4 linked regions of the Caenorhabditis elegans genome follow. The protein of the gene in region 1 purifies or fractionates together with the protein of each later gene. This does not show direct contact. Each region holds a gene or a part of one and is shown in the gene's direction. Other genes may lie near its edges.

What was found.
Region 2: the proteins of ani-1 (region 1) and ran-1 purify together in Caenorhabditis elegans (affinity purification with mass spectrometry, with the first as the bait; one large-scale study listed by BioGRID). This does not show direct contact.
Region 3: the proteins of ani-1 (region 1) and snr-4 purify together in Caenorhabditis elegans (affinity purification with mass spectrometry, with the first as the bait; one large-scale study listed by BioGRID). This does not show direct contact.
Region 4: the proteins of ani-1 (region 1) and rpl-14 purify together in Caenorhabditis elegans (affinity purification with mass spectrometry, with the first as the bait; one large-scale study listed by BioGRID). This does not show direct contact.

What each region holds. Positions count from the first base shown.
Region 1 is NC_003281.10:12,446,734-12,455,326, reverse strand, and holds the start of ani-1 (Anillin-like protein 1), read left to right. Parts: upstream 1-2,124; 5' UTR 2,125-2,142; coding exon 2,143-2,269; intron 2,270-2,334; coding exon 2,335-3,050; intron 3,051-4,458; coding exon 4,459-4,725; intron 4,726-4,789; coding exon 4,790-4,933; intron 4,934-5,570; coding exon 5,571-6,823; intron 6,824-6,882; coding exon 6,883-7,222; intron 7,223-7,968; coding exon 7,969-8,340; intron 8,341-8,391; coding exon 8,392-8,593. Other genes in the region: scav-3 (Sensory neuron membrane protein 2), read left to right, coding at 277-405, 510-891, 971-1,214, 1,263-1,458, 1,512-1,601. UniProt on the Caenorhabditis elegans protein: Required for contractile events in embryos that occur prior to mitosis, such as cortical ruffling and pseudocleavage. Promotes membrane ruffling by organizing cortical patches of septins and myosin II. Not generally required for cytokinesis in mitotic cells.
Region 2 is NC_003281.10:10,746,081-10,749,941, reverse strand, and holds ran-1 (GTP-binding nuclear protein ran-1), read left to right. Parts: upstream 1-2,213; 5' UTR 2,214-2,215; coding exon 2,216-2,333; intron 2,334-2,381; coding exon 2,382-2,507; intron 2,508-2,554; coding exon 2,555-2,676; intron 2,677-2,723; coding exon 2,724-2,912; intron 2,913-2,959; coding exon 2,960-3,052; 3' UTR 3,053-3,361; downstream 3,362-3,861. Other genes in the region: dkc-1 (Putative H/ACA ribonucleoprotein complex subunit 4), read right to left, coding at 14-737, 787-1,265, 1,308-1,394, 1,453-1,500; rib-2 (Exostosin-like-3 homolog), read right to left, coding at 3,417-3,603, 3,656-3,807. UniProt on the Caenorhabditis elegans protein: Ran GTPase system comprises ran-1, ran-2 and ran-3 and is essential in nucleocytoplasmic transport. Ran-1 is a GTP-binding protein that mediates the interaction between mitotic chromosomes and kinetochore microtubules.
Region 3 is NC_003283.11:11,977,507-11,981,707, reverse strand, and holds snr-4 (putative small nuclear ribonucleoprotein Sm D2), read left to right. Parts: upstream 1-1,984; 5' UTR 1,985-2,011; coding exon 2,012-2,019; intron 2,020-2,069; coding exon 2,070-2,243; intron 2,244-2,374; exon of another isoform or gene 2,375-2,395; intron 2,396-2,846; coding exon 2,847-3,021; 3' UTR 3,022-3,200; downstream 3,201-4,201. Other genes in the region: rpt-1 (26S proteasome regulatory subunit 7), read left to right, coding at 1-405, 619-972; MIF-like protein mif-2, read left to right, coding at 3,304-3,357, 3,453-3,521. UniProt on the Caenorhabditis elegans protein: Plays a role in pre-mRNA splicing as a core component of the spliceosomal U1, U2, U4 and U5 small nuclear ribonucleoproteins (snRNPs), the building blocks of the spliceosome.
Region 4 is NC_003279.8:9,687,200-9,690,938, forward strand, and holds rpl-14 (Large ribosomal subunit protein eL14), read left to right. Parts: upstream 1-1,997; 5' UTR 1,998-2,002; coding exon 2,003-2,107; intron 2,108-2,453; coding exon 2,454-2,648; intron 2,649-2,739; coding exon 2,740-2,847; 3' UTR 2,848-2,882; downstream 2,883-3,739. Other genes in the region: ikb-1 (Death domain-containing protein), read left to right, coding at 62-195, 252-521, 569-914, 960-1,393; nssp-7 (Activin_recp domain-containing protein), read right to left, coding at 2,931-3,191, 3,239-3,358.

The sequences.
Region 1 (8,593 bases):
GCGTATTGGACAGCATATTTGACGCGCAAAATATGAAATATCTCGCAGCGAAAACTACAGTAATTCGTTGAATGGCTACTGTAGCGCTTGTGTCGATTTACGGGCTCGAATTTTTTTCAATTCGAGCCCGTAAATCGACAACTCTCCAGCAGTCTCATTTAAAGAATTACTGTAGTTTTCGCTACGAGATATTTCACATTTTGCGCGTCAAATATGTTGTGCAATACGCAATTCTCGGAATTTTGTGCTCTCCGTAATATAATAGTGAAATTTTAGGTAAAAGTAAGCGATGCTCTATTCGACGGATACGAAGACCCGATAATCGATATCGTTTGTAAAAATAAAATTCTTCAATTCCTCTGCGAAACGAATTCTCTTCAGCGGAGAGTTGGATTCTTTTATGGGGTAAGATATGAGTTTGCAAGGTGCCGCACAGAAAAATAGGCGGAGCCAAATTTTGCGCAACCATGCCGCACGGTTTTCCTTCCAAAATATTGATTTTTCTTCAGCAAAATGGAACAACAGACGGAATATACGAAGTGGATGCTGGCGTGCCATCTCCATCGAAAATCGGTCATTTATACACGTGGAATAATATGACAGAAATGCCCGAAGGAACATGGGATACTAAATACGCACGAATGATTAACGGAACCGATGGACAATTGTTCAGTCCGATGCTGAAACGAGAAGACAGATTGACGATATTTGTGCCGCAAATATGTAGATCAATTCAAATGGAATACACAAAAGATGTCGCTGTGAATGGGGTTCCTTCGTGGAGATATGCACCACCTTTGGATCTTTACGATCCTGCTCTTCCGCAGAATCGAGCATTTTGTAATAAGAATGGAATGCCGCGATATTTTGATAATACTACTGTGCAAATTGGTGAGAGAGAGAGAGAGAGTTTTATTTTAAAAAATTCGATTGTAAATTTAAATTTAAATTTTAATATTAATTTTTCCAGAAAACTGCCTCCCTGCCGGTCTTATCGACTTGTCACGATGCCAAGCCGGCAATCCACGTGTCTATCTATCCAATCCACACTTCTACAACTCACCAATGGAGCTGTGGCATTCCGTCACTGGGCTCTCGGTGCCAACTGCTTCAAATGACCTGACTGTTGTAGATATTGAGCCAACTGCCGGCGTTCCAACTCAAGCGAAAAGAATTATGCAGATTAATGTGGGAATGGTCAAGGGATCCTTGAGGTTTACCTATTACGAAATTGAAATCTCTAATAATTATCGATTTTTCAGTGTCACCGAAAACACGACAAACGTCGTTGTTCCAGTCCTTTGGATGAACGAAACTGCGTATTTCGATCAAGGAACTCGTGATCAGCTGATTAATATTTTCAACGCAAAACATTATTCATTTATTGGAGGTGTTATCAGCTTGTCACTTGGTCTTATCGCCTGGCTTGCCGTTTTTGTTGTAATCATTGTTTATTCGGTAATTATATTATTGTTGGTTTTCTGCAAAATTCAATTTCCTCTAATTTACAGCGACAATCCGACGAAGAAGAGTACGGACGTCTTGTGCTGGAGGATGAGGACGAAGAGCCTGCGCAAGACGAGAACGCAGTTTTGGCATAAATTTAAAAATTTAAATCATTTTTAATCATATTGTGATAATTTCGAATTTTTGATGCAGGTTGCAATAATTCTGGTGCTCACACGACTTAATATGGCACTTTTTCTTGTAAATATTAATTGAATAAATGATTTTTTTCGAAATTTTTTTTTATTTTGACGAAATCCCGCGAGAGGGAGAGAGAGAGAGAGCACGCGAAAAGAAGAGACGCAGATGCGCGGGATTAAAGGCGCGTTTTTTTTCACGCGTGGGTCCCACCACGCGTCGAGACCTGGTTGCCGCCAAAACAATGTATTCAAATTTTGCAACTCGATTTTAAACGTTTTTCGATTTTTTGACGTGAATTTTCACATTTTTCCTGTTTTTTGACACGTTTTCCACGAATTTTGCCCGATATAAACGCGTATTAGTCAATTTTAATTATTTTCTACAAGAAAAGCTGCGAAAAGTGCGTCGTTTTACGAATTCGTTGAAACTGTTCGCAAGTTTTGATGAGATTTTCTTGGAAACATTGTTTTCTTGCAGAACTACACTGTAAATACAATGGGGGATCAATTCGATTCTCTAATGGAACGCATACGAGTTCGGCAAGCCGAAATGTCAGGCGAAGGAGAGGTGGCAAAGGAGAATGGGCCAGTGACCTCAAAAATTACATCTGTGAAGCAAGAAGGTATATTTTGGGGTTTTTAAGAATACAGAAATATAAATATATTAATTAATATGTTTGATTTTCAGTTGCATCTCCAACAAAAGTCTTCGGAAGCTCCTCAAAATGCAACGACGGCCCGTCAACTCCAGTGCATTTTCACCCTCAAGAGCCAAAGGAGACAACTCCAAATATGAAGGAAAACGCTGAAAATTCATTAAATTCGTTCAAAGATGCCACAGTCAACGAGTCAAGCTCCAAAAAGACGTCGAGATTCTCAATGTTGGCTCAAGAAATCGATGAATACGAATATGACTACCAATCACAGTACAATAAGCCGAAAGAAGCATATATGAAGGGAAGATCTCCACGAATGTCGATCGGAGAGACACGTCCAGCAGTCCTGTGTACTCCGGCTGGAGCACAAGCCATGAAAAGCCCAAATGTAGCGGTATCGTCGAAAAGTGCTCCCGAAATCGCTCTCGGAATGTCGGATTTCGAAGCTCGCCGCATCAAATTCGCCCAGCCAATTGTGAATGTGAACTATCTGCCCAACGAATCGTCGATTTTCTCCGGAGGATCCGGATCATCTGTAAACGATCAGAGCACTGTGCTCGGAGGCTCTGCCGAAATGATGAACGTCACCACGTCGTCGCTGAGCTGTGGAGAGCTGTCGATGAATCAGCATATAACACACGAAAATACGATTATCAACGCACAATCGTGTGATAATCGAGAGGCGATTTTGAGAGAAAGACAGCAAGTTTCAAACGAAGAATATGGACCGCACACATTTATGAGAAAGGTAGAATGTTGGGAAAAGTCAATGTCCCTTTAACGAGCTCGTGTACTGTGCGTGGACAATCGCGAATTTATTTTCGTGCAGGATTTCACGGTTTTTCGTTAATTTTTCTCATTCAAAATTGCCAATCTACCTAATATTGTCGTATTTTCTCAAGATTTTGACTTGCCTTCTTAAAGGTGGATTACGCTCATTGGGGAAATTGCTTTAAACCCGCCTATGGGGTCACAATGACCGAATATCATAATAAAAAAATTTTCTAGGTTTTATATGATTTTTTGAAAATTGAAAAAATCTCAGTTTTTGCCTAATTCCTATTTGAATTACCGCCAATTGGATTTGTTCGATGGAGCGCGCTTGCGCGTTTTTAAATTTATTTATTTTATTTTTTTTTGTTATTTTCCACCGATTTTTCATGTTTTCTGTGTATTTTTACAGAAAATTTGAAGGAAAAGTCAAGACAAATGCAAATTTTCGATTAAAAAGCACGCTTACGAGCGTAAAAATGGAAAAGTAACGCTTTTAAACGATTTCGAACCTGAATTAATTAATTTCACTGATTTACGCCTGTACGTTTGCTTTTTAATCGAAAATTTGCATTTATCTTGACTTTTTCTCTAAAATTCGAGCAAAAATACACCGAAAACATTAAAAAATTGGTGGAAAATAACAAAAAATAAAATAAATGAATTTAAAAACGTGCAAGCGCGCTCCATCGAACAAATCCAATTGGCGGTAATTCAAACAGGAATTAGGCAAAAACTGAGATTTTTTCAATTTTCAAAAAATCATATAAAATTTAGAAAATTTTTTTGAATTTTTTTAATCATGATATTCGGTCATTGTGGTACCATAGGCGTGTTTTAAAGCAATTTCCCCACTGAGCGTAGTCCACCTTTAAAGGCGCATGGATGTATTCAGATGGGTCTCAGCGCGCCAAAAGTTTATTGCTTCGTATAGCGAATTTTGTCGATAAAAATCGCTTAAAACAACGTAATTTCAATGAAAAATAAAAAACAATTTAATCATAAACTTTTTAGCGCGACGAGACCCATCGGAATAAATCCTTGCGTTTTTAGGAAGACATGTCTTGTAAAATTACAATATATAATAGGTAGACTGGCAGTTTTAAATGCAGAAAAATGGACGAAAAGTGAAAAATCACCCTTTTTAGCGAAAAATTGTGAAATCCTGCAAGAACATAAATTCACGTTTGTCCACGCATAGTACACGAGCTCGTAAATCTACACAAATCTTAAAGGGACATAGCCTTAAAAATGAGATTTTGAGAAACATTTTTCGATAATAACTCCAAAATACATAGTCCGCACGCCTTTTTTAGTGATAATTTCGCACGCTTTCGAGAAAATCCTTTGTTGCCTAATCCTTTTGTTTTTTTTTTGTCGTGTAGAAGGTGCCAAAAGAAGCTTCATCTGCGACATCATCATCATCGTCAACGACAACTTTAACTACGATCTCCGGTGCATCAGGCTCTACAACGTCTGGAATATCGAATGCTCCACAGGACTCGGCTTCAACAAAAACCACGACTAATACATTTACTTCTTCGTATTTGCTCACTAAAACCTCGAACAACAACATCAATGCACTTGTCTCGTCGTCGCCAAAACCGTTTTCTAAAGATATCGGAAGATCCATGTTCTCGCCTGTGCATTTTGTATGTTTTTTTGGTTTTTTGCTTCACGCCTCTATCACCTCACCTACTAACTGCTCTCTTTCAGACTCCAAAAAGCACGTCGTCACCGAAAACTCTGTCGGAGAGCATCTTCTCGCCATCGAAATCCGCCGCAGTCGAAGGATCAATTGCGACTACGAGACGGCTTCAGTTTGAGGAGAAATTGAAGAAAAGTAGTAGCGCGAATGTTGTGAGTAGATATGATGTGGAAAATGCTCTTGGCAGCTGATTATTGCGACTGATTGGAAATTAAAAAATATTTAATTAAACTAGAAAAAATCCCCCCTGCAAAACACGATTGTTGCGATTTTGCATCCGTGACATTTTGAATTTCCACTGAAAATAGCAGATTTTTCAGATTCATCAAATTTTTAGCTTTAAAAATTTTATTTTCTGCATTTTCCGAACAAACTTTTTCGTTAAACAGTGAAAATCGAATTTAAAATGACTAAACTGAACATTTTTCGTCCACTGGTTGTGAAATGGATTGAATTTGAAAAAATCAATGGGATTTTTCTTATTTTCTAGATATTTTTCTATTAAAAATGTATTAAAACCGATTTTCAATAGAAAAATTTTTAGAAAATAAGAAAAATCCCGTTGATTTCTTCAAATTCAAAACATTTCACAGCCAGTGGACGAAAAAGGTTCATTTTAGTCATTTTAAATTCGATTTTCACTGTTTAACGAAAAAGTTTGTTCGGAAAATGCAGAAAATAAAATTCTAAAGCTAAAAATTTGATAGTTCTGAAAAATCTGCTATTTTCAGTGGAAATTCAAAATGTTGCGGATGCAAAAAGCCAAACCGGATTTCTCTCCATTTCCAGACAGCGCCTCCTGCACCTACATCAGCACCAGTTCCAACGCCACGCCACGTGGCTCCATTGGCACCTACAGTAGCCCAGCAGAGCCACTTGACTCCAAACCATCGTCATGCTGCTCAACAAAAGAAGCACCTGTTCCCCGTAGTGGGGATCGTCGCGACTGCACCGATTCCAGTTCAAACTCAATGGAGAGGACAATCGAATACTCCAGTTGTGCAGGGAGCTCGTGCCGACGAGAAGACTGCTGGTAATGAGCCACCAGTTGGAGCCGGAGTTGGAAAGCTGAAGAATTTGAAGTCGAGATGGGAGTTTTCGTCGGCAACTGGCACGCCAATACATCCTGATGCTACCGAAGATTCGTTGATTGCTACGGCAATTAAGATGAAGGAGAGTGCGATTCCGAAACAGCTTGGTCACAGATCAGAGCGAAAAGGACCATCCGCCTCGTCGCTCTACTCGCAAGGTGCTCGGAGTAACACGGCTTCTCCTGCATCGAAAAGTACTCGTTATGAGCAAGAAGAAGAAGATGATGTGTTTGAAGCTCCAGAATTTAATGATGGAGGAGACGTGATATCAGAAGATGGAATTCTTCAGGAAGAAGAAGAGGATACTTCTAAATTCATTGATAATGCATTTGGATTTATGGAAGGATCTGGGGCTGGAACGCCGAGCCCATATCGCGAGCCTCCGTTGCAACGTTTGGAAAAGAATAGGCCGCCGGCGGAGGTTATTGAAGAAGAAACTGAAAATGAGGATGAATCTGAACCCTATGAGCCGGAAGAAGAAGAGGATGACGATGCAACAACACAATTTCCTGTACCTGAAAGATCACGAAAATCAAGTTCTCAACTGGCCTACTCTGTTTCGTTTTATCGAAAAATTCAACGAGACAGAAACGAAGAATCGTCGACAGTGCTGGCCGGGCCAGTTATCAGTCAAATCAGTCCATCTGCTCCGCCGATGTCATCATCGCTCACATCACAACAGAAACTTCGACAGCTCACCACCGGGCCTGCGAATGGAGCACGAATTGTCGAGTCGGCTAAGGATGCTCACGATCGTATCAAGCGAGCGATTCAAGTTGAAGAGCAGCTTGTTGCTCAATCCAAGAGAGCAATGATATTGGCCCGGGATAAGCCAAGTTTCCGTGGATCGCGTGAGGAATTTGAAGCACAATGGGCAATGCTTCGTCATGTGGAAAAGCATCGAGCACTTCTCACTGAGTATGATCGATTGAAACGAGATGGACCGAGAATGTTAGTTTTTTTTTTCCGAATTTTTTTTTCACCTAAAAAAATATTCAATTTTTTTCCAGTATCGATGGACCACGTGGAACGATAACAGTATCCCAGTTGTCAGTGAACATGGCTCGTGATTATGTGTCAGCTAATATTGCGTCAAGCAAGAAATCCGATGAAGTCTTCTATTTCGCGGCGATTCTCCGCTACGGCGAGCAAGTCGACGTGTCGAAAATGGTGACAAGCGACGGTGGTCTGAATCGTCGTGGTGTTCTCGAGTTTCCCGTACCACTGATGTTGACCGGGATTCCACCGGATTTCCGAGCAACTGTCGAGATTTATGGACAACGATCGATGCGAGAATCGACGTCGCACGAGGATAAGTACAAGTTGAAGAATTCGACGTTTAAGGCGAAGGTTTGTTTGTTTTTTTCCGAAATATTTGTCATATTTTACATACTCGTCCGTTGAAAATTCGAAATGTCTGCTGCTATAGAATATCGACAAATGGTGTTGTTATGATGTTGTTGATGAGTGTGAGCATGAATCGAGAATGACAGCTGCTGAAAACTTAGCAAGTGAGGAGAAGAAGAGAGTGCCCCTACCCTGTAGATTGTGGAGAAGATTGCATGATGTATGTCTGTTTGTTTGTTTGTTTGTTATTGTCAAATGTCTTGTTCTTCTGTTTTCTGTTAATAATGTATCATAACTTCATCTTCTTCACGTTCCGGCAAGTGGTACATCCATGCAAATGCGCTCTACTGATAATTTGAGTGTAGACCAGGTTTGGGCGCGTGATAACGAAAAAAGCTTTGGTCCAAAAAATGTAGAATTTAATATCGGGCATTTTTTATATGCATCACAAAAAAACTGGACAACTGTTTTTGAGATACACGCGCCCAAACGTCCAGGTATACGGTAGACAAATTGCGTACAGGTACCACTTCTCGGGCCGTGTTCTTAAAGCCGCACAGATTTATTCATATGGGTCTCGGCGCGCCGTTGTTTTAAGCGAATTTTTCGCTACATACTCGCAAGCAATTTGATTGCAAAATGGAAAATAAATGAGGTTATCATGCGCTCCGAGACCCTTCTGAATAAACCCGTGCGCCTTTAATTAGACGTGTATATCAATAGAACCTGGAAATAAGTAATATTTCTAGACTCGTAACACATTCCTGGGCGGCGGATCAACTTCATCAGCAAACCAGAGCCTATTCGTCGATCCAGCAGCATCGTCATCATCAACTTCGTCGACCACATCCAACTTCAATTTGCTCGGAACATTCTCGTTCGACATCAATTGCCCTGGAAAACATTTGTACAACATGTCACATACTGTATATCCGCTCGAAGGTATTACACAGATGAAAGTACGCAAACAGGCGATCGATGGAGCTGATATCACTTATCACGGATTCTTGTCAATGTATCAGAGAACTGGCGAGGGGCTCGGATCGTGGACGAGATACTGGTGTGCTCTTGAGAATGGAGAGATGAAGTTTTGGAAGCAGCCAGAAGATGAGGGAACTAAGGTTTTTAAATTTTTATTTTTTTTGTCTAAAATTAAACTTTTTTTATTGTAGGGTTACACTGCACTAATGGATCTTTCAACGTGTTGCCGTTCCGAAGGTGCATCGGTAGTTGAAGACATTTGCCCATTCCCGAATAGCTTCCACATTGATGTTTGGGCTCCAAAAATGGATACATCGGATCCACGTGGCATTGAGCGTCTTCGAGTTATGCTGGCGGCCGATACAGCTCAAGATCTTCAAACATGGCTGTCAC
Region 2 (3,861 bases), 1.7 Mb from region 1:
CATAAAAATGAGCTTAATCGCTATCACTATCACTCGACTCTTGCTTCTTGGACTTTTTGGATTTCTTCTTCGGTGCCTCCTCCTCTTCCTCGTCTGGCGTCTCCTCTTTCTTGACTTCTTTCTTCGTCGAAGTTTGAACGTACTCCTTGGCCCACGATTTTGGAGTAGTGTCATTTGGTTTTCCGAATTTGTCTAGAAGTCCGTCCTTGACCATTTGCTTCTTCTTGGATGCAACCGGTCCAAGTCCCCACTTTCTTCCGTACACATCACGCTCCATAATGACACGCTTCGACTTGGCAACGACTCCGTGATCGACTGAAGCGATCGTTGATGTGTTCATCTGAGCAATAGCGATGCAGATGGCTTCTCCCTTCGTCGACATGATGACGATCTCCTTGCCAACCTCGATGTCATCGTCGTAACGAAGAATTCCGGGAATAAGGATCTTGGCTCCGTAGCAGATCGCGTTGATGCAACTGTCCTTGACAACAACTCTCTTGTGCTGGGTGAGAAGAGCCTCAAGTGGACGAACGATGTGTCTCATGTAGCTCTCGTCTTTCTGGGTGTCTAGGAGATACTGAGCATCGAGAACGTCGTGCATTGTGACCATATTCTCGTTTTCATCGCAGATTCCGGATCTGTTTCTGCGAAGCTCTTGCATTTGACCTCCGCATCCGAGGATGAGACCGAGATGCACACAAATTGTACGAACGTAGGTTCCCGACTCGCAGATGCAGCTGAAATTAAATGAAAACTAGAAATTAGATTTATTATAAGGATTCTTACTTGAAAATTCCCATCTGTTGAGCTGGATCATACTCGATGAACTTGTTCTCGTAAACGGTACGAATACGAAGCTGACGCTTGACAGCTGAGATCAGTGGTGGGCGTTGGAAGAGGGCTCCGGTGAGCTTCTCGAGGGCTTGCTTCACCTTGCGATCATCCTCAACTTCCTCGTGGAGCTTGAAGATGCAGATGTATTCCTTTCCAGCTCCTTGCTGCGACTTGGCCAAACGAGTGGTACGGTCGATACAAACGATCAGACATCCCGATACTTTTGGATCGAGTGTTCCACTGTGTCCGGTCTTCTCGCAACGAAGAATTCTCTTGATCCAGGACACGACTTCGTGAGAAGATGGGTTCGATGGTTTGTCAAGATTGAAGAATCCAGACGAAATGTAGTTCTTGATGTCACGCTTTAATGGTGATACTCCCTCGACGTGTGGTGTGTAGTGATTGGTGCGCACATTCAATTTGTCGTAATTCTGAAATAATAATTTAATTTTTAAATGAGATCACTCAACTACCTTGAGCAAAAGTGGCCACTGGGAAGCATCGAGCTTGGCGGTTTCGTTCGAGGATGGAAGTTGGAATGATCCCTTCTGTTGAGCCTCCTGAAATAATGAAAATGTACTCAATATTTAATAAATGGCTTGAAAATTAAAAACTAACAGCTAGATCGTCTCCCTCAAGCTTGGAACGCTTATCCTTCTTGCCCATGATGAGATCTTCGCTGAAAAAATAACATTATTGACAAAATCCAACAGTTCTGAAGCGATTAACAAGAGTTTAAAGATTAATAAGGTTCTAATGAACTCCAAATATGCCTCATAAGCTCGTGGAAAGTGTCAAGAAGCAGAAAACCTGCCAGAAAACTATCGATTTTTTGAAAAACGAGAGAAGAAACCCCCATTGGCAGTGTGCCAGACGAAAGAGACACAGGCTGCGTGTGTGCCCCTATGCCTCAACACACACGGGGTTCTACGCAAAAACATTTTCGAATTTTGTTCATTTTGGCGCGCAAATCTGGCTTGTTGCGCCATTTTCGAATACTTTTCTTGTCCCTGGCGCCAAGTTTTGTCATCTTTTTTCGGTTTTTTCATTCATTTTGATGCATTTGCGTTGTTTCCTCAGTTGGTTCACTGTAATTTTCGAGTTCTCTCTGATTTTGCTCCATGAGCAAGCTCTGATCACGAGATAATCTCTCTGCTCAGCTTCACGTCTCTTCTAAAACTTTTTTGCTCAATTCTAAATACACATTATCCGAACATTCTTGTTTTTGAAATATTTATCCACCGCTTCGTGATTTTCAACTGAAGCTTCGGTAATACGTAGAATTTCGCAATAATTCGCATTTTCGAAAAGTTTCGTGCTATTTTCCTCTTGACAATCTTTTTCCTTCGTATTTTATTCTCCTCATCTCCTCATTTCAGTCATGTCTGGTGGAGACGGCATCCCAACTTTCAAGCTTGTCCTTGTCGGAGATGGAGGAACCGGAAAGACTACCTTCGTTAAACGTCACTTGACTGGAGAGTTCGAGAAGAAGTATGTTGGTAAGTAATTCAGGAATTTGTTTCTCCCAGTTCAATAATTGTTTTCAGCCACTCTCGGAGTCGAAGTTCACCCACTTGTCTTCCACACCAATCGCGGACAAATTCGTTTCAACGTTTGGGACACCGCCGGACAGGAGAAATTTGGTGGTCTTCGTGACGGATACTACATCCAAGGTATGTTAAAATTCGAAATTATAACTTCTGAAATGCCCAATTTCCAGGACAATGCGCCATTATCATGTTCGATGTTACCGCTCGTGTCACCTACAAGAATGTCCCGAACTGGCATCGCGATTTGGCCAGAGTATGTGAAAACATTCCAATTGTTCTCTGCGGAAATAAGGTAATCACTAGCTGAAACTGGCCAATATATTCAATTACAAATTTCAGGTCGACGTCAAGGACCGTAAAGTGAAGGCCAAGACCATCACCTTCCACCGAAAGAAGAACCTCCAATACTACGACATCTCCGCAAAGTCGAACTATAACTTCGAAAAGCCATTCCTCTGGCTCGCCAGAAAGCTGCTCGGAGATCCAAACCTCGAGTTTGTCGCAATGCCAGCTTTGGCTCCTCCAGAGGTATTTTTAAATCCATGTTCTTTCATAAGCAATATTTTAATTTCCAGGTTCAAATGGACCCAGCCATGATTGCCGAATACGAAAAGGATCTGGACAACGCCGCCAAGGCTGATCTTCCAGATGACGACGATGATCTTTAAACACTTTAACCTTTCAAAATCCTTGTTTTCAAATCTCACAAAACCATCCCACCTAAATTTACCATTTTATACATTTCATATGCCAATTAATTTCTTAACTTAAAAATAATTTGCATACCCAACCGGTGTCTACAATTCAAAGTGCTGGCTTGGGTAGAAGAAGGATTGTACATTTGCTGTTTGATCGTTGTGCGAATGAATTGAAGAAATGGTTGGCTCATCACTCTCAATCTCCATGATTTATTTTATATTTTATGTTCGACTAAAAAATTTTAAACAACTTGTTGCAATAAATTGTAGCACCATTCGACAAGTGAATTATACCGGCAATAGGGAAAGTGAGCAAATGCAGAGGGGGATTTTTTTACACATATTTAAAGCACTTTTGATGATTCTGTGGGAGACGCGTCTTGAAAAGAATCGAGTCAGCACGGAATTGGGAGAATTTCAGAGGATTGTAGCCGTAGATTTTCGTGAACAATCGCATACATTCGTGGCGTTTCTCGAAATGTGTCCCTTCTTTATACAAGCTTTCCGTGCAAGTTGGACATCTGAAAATTGAAATTATTATTAGATTAGACTCATTTAAAATCTGGAAATTACTTGAGCGTCCATCGAGAAGTCGTTTTGATTGGCGGTTTTCGTGTGAGATGAGAAACTAAATAATTCATAGCAATGTCCTCGCAGTTTTTGATGCTATTCACATGTTCACGAATTTCAGCTGGCATTTCGTAGGTGTAAGCAGTCAAATAGTTCTGAAATTTTTAACGTTTTAGATTTTATACGGGTTTTACCCAGACGCGGGAATT
Region 3 (4,201 bases), on another chromosome or scaffold:
GATCAAATTGAAAAGCTTCGAGAAGTTGTCGAGACTCCACTTCTTCATCCCGAGCGTTACGTTAATCTCGGAATCGAGCCACCAAAAGGAGTTTTGCTCTACGGTCCACCAGGAACAGGAAAGACGCTTTGCGCTCGTGCCGTTGCCAATCGAACAGATGCTTGCTTCATTCGTGTTATTGGATCAGAGTTGGTTCAGAAATATGTCGGAGAAGGAGCTCGAATGGTTCGTGAGTTGTTCGAAATGGCTCGTACCAAGAAGGCATGTCTTATCTTCTTTGATGAAATTGATGCTGTTGGAGGTGCTCGTTTTGATGATGGACAAGGAGGTGACAATGAAGTTCAACGTACTATGCTCGAGTTGATTAACCAACTTGACGGATTCGATCCACGTGGAAACATCAAGGTTTGTCTTTAATTCTTTATGGAAATAACCCAAAAAAATCTGTAATATAAATTTATTTATCTCTTGCTTTCTTGAAGGCAGTTTATATCATTAGTTCAGTCCTTTCATCCAAAAAAAAAGACACACATTTTTCGTTTGATAAGTTTCCAAAAAATTAATGCTTACATGTATTGTAAATATGAGTGTTTCATTAAAATAATTTGATATTTTCAGGTGCTTATGGCAACAAACAGACCGGACACTCTCGATCCCGCTCTCATGAGACCTGGTCGATTGGATCGTAAAGTCGAATTCGCTCTTCCAGACCTTGCAGGTCGTGCTCACATTCTCAAGATTCATGCAAAACAAATGAGCGTTGAAAGAGATATTCGTTATGATTTACTTGCTCGTCTGTGCCCAAACAGTACAGGAGCCGAAATTCGCTCAGTCTGCACCGAAGCTGGAATGTTTGCAATTCGTGCTAGAAGAAAGGTGGCAACTGAAAAAGATTTCCTTGAAGCTATCAATAAGGTTGTCAAGGGATATGCCAAATTCAGCGCCACTCCAAGATATCTGACACATAATTAATTGTACCCTATTCGGTTTTCATTCTCTTTCCGGTCCTCGATTAACTTATTTTCGCCCGTCCACCCATTTTTTTTTGTACAGATTCCCCATGTCTCCGATTTTTGTCTTATTTATTACATCCTATCGTCGTGAGATGCACCCAAGTTGGCCCAACACTGTCAGATGTATTCGTTTCGATTTTATGGATAAATGTGATTGGGTTTCTGACTATTAAAACTTGTATACACCAGTTTAAATGAATCTGAAAACGTGCCATAAAACCTTTTCATAAGAAGAGTAGTAATCTAAACGCGATTACGGTGTAATGCCAGAAAAAGTAAGAATAGAAGAAATTGGCAAGCGTATTTTAATGGTACTAATATTGTGCACACTTTACCTAGGAATATATTTTTCATCTCTACAATGTTGACTAGCGCCCTGAATGCTCCAAGGATACTGTTTTCCAACTAAATGTTCAACTGTTCAGTATTTATATTCTGCCTCCTAGAGGCGTTCAAAAATTGCGTATGCCACCCATGTTTCAGGGGACATCGCGGGCAATTGGGAAAAGTTTTCAACCAGCAATAAACGCACCTCGGCAAAGCCTCATTGGTCACGTTATCGCCCCAGCGCAAAGCTAAATTCAGCAGCTCACTCAGCTGATCCTATAAAACACAGCAACCGACAAATCGCGGCTTTCGCGCACAATGGTGCTTTCTGCATTCTGTATTCTTCGGAATGCGGCGCGTGTGCGTTGCGGTCGTCTTTTTCGAATTGCAATCGCTCGCGGTTTATCGGAGTCTCTCTGTTTTCTTGAAACGAATCTCTTCCCTTCGATTAAAACTGCATAAAAACTAATAAAAATCTCAAAATTGATTTTTCTTCTACTTTCTTAAGATCTGTAAAGTTTCGTTCCTCCGAATTCCTCTTTATGATTATTTAGAAAACCTCGCCCAATACCTTATTCTTCACTCTTATCGGTATTTTTTACATGAAATTATCATTGATTCTCAGCTAACCAATTTAATTTCAGGGACTTCTATCAAAATCAACTTTGATCATGTCGGCGTGAGTTCACATTGTTTTCATTGACCAGTAGTTTAAATTTATTTTTACAGCCAAGCCAAACCCCGTTCAGAGATGACTGCTGAAGAACTCGCTGCAAAGGAGGACGAGGAATTCAATGTCGGACCACTCTCCATCCTCACCAACTCAGTCAAAAACAATCATCAAGTTCTCATCAATTGCAGAAACAACAAGAAGCTTCTCGGAAGAGTTAAGGCTTTTGACAGGTTAGGTTTCTTAGAAATACTATTAAGTAAAAACTCACAAGTATTTGTCGGTAGTAAACTTCAGACAACATTTTTTAAAGAAAAGTGTTTCAAAAATAATATTTGAATCATCGATAGTGAACGTATTTTGGTTGTCGTCTCGATGCTGTAGCAAAATATCATTTACTATATATAATGCATTTATTCCGTTTGTCCATAGTTTGTAGTCTGTGAAGGTTTGGCTTAGTGTAGGGATATAGTCGGGGTACTGTAGTGGTACAATAGTGGTACGGTAGGAGTACTGTATGATTATGGTAGTTTCAGAAAAATTAGTTTTCAGCCCCAGAAGTCGGGGCAGCGCCAGAGGTGCGGTCCACGGCTGGTAGATTTAATAAAACGGCACGATCCTCCTGTGCTGTAACAAATTGTCGTGGCATCAAATTATTCAAACACGTATTGCTACGATTTCCAAAGGGAAAACACAAATCTTACACTAATATAAGTACTTTCTCATTTGCCGTAACTTTCGTGTCCCGCAAAGCATGCAAAATTCCAAGAGGAGTTTTCTACTATTGTTCGTATAAAAATAATTGGAACGTATAGTCTAATTCTTTACTTTTTCAGACATTGCAACATGGTCCTCGAAAATGTGAAGGAAATGTGGACTGAAGTGCCAAAGACTGGAAAGGGAAAGAAGAAGGCAAAGTCTGTCGCCAAAGATCGTTTCATCTCAAAAATGTTCCTCCGCGGAGACTCCGTCATTCTCGTCGTCAAAAACCCACTGGCACAAGCTGAATAATTCACCTTCAGAAAATCTCCCAATCAGTACGGTTTTCTCGTATTTGTTATGACACCTTACAATTTTCGAAATTTTCACTCTTGTTCTTCCCCCTCCCGTTCACCCTGTTGTTTCGTTTCAATGATCATCATTTTCCACTTTTTATTTATTGATAAACGTTCCTATTTAATACCACAGTCGTGTTTTTTTCTGAAGTTGAATCCGTATCCTCGCGGCAGATGATTTTTGTAGTTCTGCGTGATTGTTGCTTGAACTTGAAACCGGTTTTTCGATTTTTCGTCGATGTTGACTGTCAGTGCTATCAGAATATCATCGTCTTTCGTCTTCAAAGTTCAGGTTACTATTGGTCGTTATTTTTTGAATAAAAACGCTATATTCCACGTTTTTCATGAAATGTGATTTATTGCCATATTCCAAAAAATCAATTTCAGAAACGAAAAATGCCGATGGTCAGAGTTGCGACGAATCTACCAAATGAGAAGGTTCCTGTTGATTTTGAGGTTTGTGTTTTAATCAAACATTTTCTAAACGACTCAACAAACACTGAACAGTCTAGAGAAAATTTGTAGAAAAAAACAAGTATTTTAAGAGAAACAAATATGGTTCCCGGTCTCGACACGACGAGTTTTTTCGTTGCGAGAAAGTGTGCGCCTTTAAAGATTACTGTAATTTTATACTCGAGTTTCTGCAGAATTCTTAAAGATTTTATATAGTTTTTCTCACAATAAGTTTTTCAATGAAAATATTTTTAACGAAAAACTATGAACAATTGATGAAAATTCCTCAGCAAGGGAAGTTTAAAATTACAGTACTCTTTAAAGGTGCACACCTTTTTTTTTGCATTTTACAAGCACCTGTCGTCTCGAAACCAGGTACAGTATTTTGGGACCACAACTTGGCAAAACAGACATGTTTTTGAAAAATAATATTAAGACAGTTCAGACAAATTTTTGAAATATTTTATATTCAGTTTTCGCATCCACAATTTCGGAAGTTGACCAAAAAGTGGATTTTCTACGAATTTTTGATATTTTAATAATTTTCCGTTTTTCTAGAGTATTGTACGGTTACAAACATGAACCATTGTTCCAAATTCTCAAAAGTCCCGAACTTTTCGTAGCGCCAATTTACCAAAGAAAACTTTCAAAAATCTGAACAAATGCCAACTTCACATAGTATT
Region 4 (3,739 bases), on another chromosome or scaffold:
CGTGTCGAGACCGGAGATCTTATTTTTGGCGCAATATTTTGCATATGGGTAATATTTTCAGAAGTGATAAATGTACAAAACACACATGGTCTTACTGCACTACATGTAGCTATAAGGACTGGAGATCCCGATGCTGTTCATTATCTCATGAATCATGGAGCCAAAATTGACATATCAGATAATCATGGGAGCACAGTAAGTATATAACAGACAAAATGTTCGCTTTGTGTAGATTATTCAATACTTCTCAGGCTCTACATTATCTTGGAGATGCATACAATGAATCAATTTTCAAAGAAATATTAGAACCATCTAGAGGTCAACGGTTTGATGTGAATCAGCTGAATTCGGAGGGATTTGCACCGATTCACGTGGCAGTAAGAAGGTTGAAGCTGTCGTTGATTGAGATGCTCATTGAAGCGGGAGCATTGATTGATTTTTTGGATACTGAAAAGAAAAGAAATGCGTTGATGCACGCAATTGAAATGAATGATTTTGAGACTATTCAGCTTTTGGTTGAGGTAACTGTACATAGAAAAACATTGTTTTAAATTTAATATTTTTTCAGAGAGGATCAGGAACAAATATAGAAGATGAATCTGGAGAGACTGCATTGAGCTTGGCTGTAAAAAACGTTAACTATCCAGTGATTGGCCTTCTTTTAGATAATGGAGCTGATCCGAATAGACAAAATTCTAAAGGAATATGCTTGGCAGATAGTGAAGATAGTGTTATTCAAAACATTATAAATGGAGATAGACCCGAACTACCCAAGAAAGAAGCTTTTGGTGTTCCTAATGATTTAGCTATTTCTAGATCTCCCTTATTTGGGAGATCTCATCCAGATCAGGCTCCAGGTGAAGAGAGTGGGCGGCACAGAGTTGTGAAGAGATCTAGAGAAGAAATATTAAATGGTATGTTTTCTGAAAGATTTTTTGAAATTAGATCCGTTTTTGTAGACGCTCAAACTCTTCTCGCTGAAACTGACTCCATGGCTCCACGTGTTTCGAGAATATCCACATCTGAATCTGAAGATGAGCAACAGCCGGGACCCTCAACATCGTCGGGAACACGAAGGCGTCGAAGTGAATGGGATCGGAATCCGAAGCTTAGTGATTCGGTCTGCAATTTAGATTATTTGACCCGAATTCGCGTTGCAAAAATATTTGATGATCAGTGCAAATGGCAAAGATTGGCACAACAACTCAATTGTGATCACATGGTGGAACTTATTTCTATTTGCTCATCGGGAGACGATTCAAGCCCGACTATGATTCTTTTGGACCAATTTGAACAACTTGAAGACTCATCAATTTCCCGATTGCGCGATGCTATGAATCAAATGGCAGAAGATGATGCAGTTAAATTAATTGATTCCCGTTATGTTTACTGAATATCGCAGAATTGTTTTTATTTATTTTGTTTTCAGTAATAAAACTTTACCATGCATCCTGTATTAATTTACAAAATGCAATTTATATCGAAAAACTGGACTAAGTTGCTTTTTCCTAAAATATGAACACGACTTTTTTGAAAATTCACCGGTTTAATGAAATTCATACAGGTTCAGTACAAATACATACATTAATCACTGAAATTACATAAGAGCAAACAATTGAGCAAAGTTCCCCTTCCTACAATGAAAAAGATGAGATAAACTGCGCCGCAGTTGCGTTGGGTGCGCCGCATACTTGCACGTGTCCCGCCCCATGTGGGTCTCGCCACGAAATTGTCACCGTAGCCTATGGCTGTCTTACTCATTTTGCGATTTTTTTCCCAAATTTTCTTCTTTTTCAGCAAATTTTTGATATTTTTCGGTTGTTTCTGTGATAAAAACGATATAAGAAAAATTCAGAACCAGTTTGTCTATCGATTAATACTAAAATCATAAGTTTTTGCTCAAAATATATCGTTTTAGCTGGTGAAGTCAATTTTTTCGGTGTTTCTTCACTTCTCAATGTACGCGTTATAATTTTGATTTATTATTTAATTTTCAGTAAACATGGTCTTCAACCGTGTCGTTCAAATTGGGCGCGTCGTCTTCATCGCCTCCGGCAAAGACCAAGGCAAGCTTGCTGCCATCGTCAACGTTATCGACGGAAACAGAGTAAGTCATTTATTAATTAAGAAAAAAAAATGTATAGCAGATTTATTGAATTTTACTTAAACTTTTTAAAACGTTTAGATTATCAATGCGATCAGAAATGTTTGTAAAATGCAAAAATCGGAAAGCATAGCTCTGAATCATTAAATAGTGAAATCATCACTGAAATATGCTCGTTAAAGTGATTTACTGAACAATTAGTAATTAGATTGTTAATTTATGATTAATCACAACTTCCCTTTTGAAATTGTTTCGAATATAATCGATATAAATTTAGCTGAGCGTTTGTTTTAAGCAAACACGTAGCCCCAAGAAAACATAAATACAGGCTTCTAATTGTTATTTTCAGGTTCAAATCGATGGACCATCCTCCGATGTCACTCGCACCGTCAGAAACTTGAAGGATCTTCAGCTCACCAAGTTCGTCCTCAAGCTCCGTGTTGGACAACGCACCAAGGGAGTTAAGGCAGCTTTCGATGCCGCCAAGGTCACCGAGAACTTCCAGAAGACTCAATGGGCCAAGAAGATCGCTCAAAGAGCTATCGTAAGTCACTATTTCCGATATTTTTAAAGTTAGCTTGGTTTTTGTATTAAAATTAGCATTTTCGGCTCACTTTAACCATTTTTACTTGCAGAGAGCCAAGCTCACCGACTTCGAGAGATACAAGCTCATGAAGGCCAAGCAGATGAGAAACAGAATCGTCCGAGTGGAGCTCGCCAAACTGAAGAAGGCCCAAAAGTAAAACGTTGTTTTGTTTTTAATGAAATGTTGTTTAAAAAATTGTTCGAAATTTATAGCTTGGCGAGTTTATTACTAAAATTGACTTCAACAAAACATAATAAGCAATGTGATGAAAAGTGCGATAGAAGTGAAAAGCGGAGTGGTTGATCCGTGGTTTGAGAAGTTTCCAGAGCTGCAACAGATTTCTTCCTCTTTTCCTTGAGTGTCGGTTCTGGTGAAGCAGTCATTTCCGTGGTCCTTGCATTCACCAGCATGCTCGCATCGGCCCGAAATGAACGGAAGATTAGTTCCTACGCTGCTTCCGGTGACCTTCACACAATATTCTGCTTTCGAATGGCATCTTGGCTGAAGCAATGCAAAATCTTATCAATACAAATAGCAGTTGAACTCACGTTTCGCTCAGCCTTCGGAATCGGTTGTCCTTGTGGGACTCTGTAGTGAGTACACTGAATGATAGCCATAGAAACGGGCACCAGTAATAAAAGAATGACAGGTGGGTGTAGAAACCGCATCTGAAAATAGTTAAAATGTAAGAATCAGAAGTTCGAAGTGTCATAGAGATCAGCTGAAGTCAAATAAAATGTGAAAATATAAAATAAACTGAATCAATGCGAACCCTATGGACATCATCAGGATTGAGAGACAAGAAACTTGGAACAAAACGGAACGAAAAAAGGAGAGCAAAGACTTAACGGAAACGAGTAGCGAGGGATCAAAATTTGTCCATTTTTGAAGGACGGATGAGTGTTAACTCTTTTCTTCGTATGCTTTTATGCTTTTCCCCTTTTCTGAGCCGCTTTTTTCATTGAAATTCGTCAAAACGCTTCGTAACTGGTGGCAGTGAAAGATTGCAGTTTTCCGGACGAAGAAGGACTCTTTTCTCCGTCATTTTC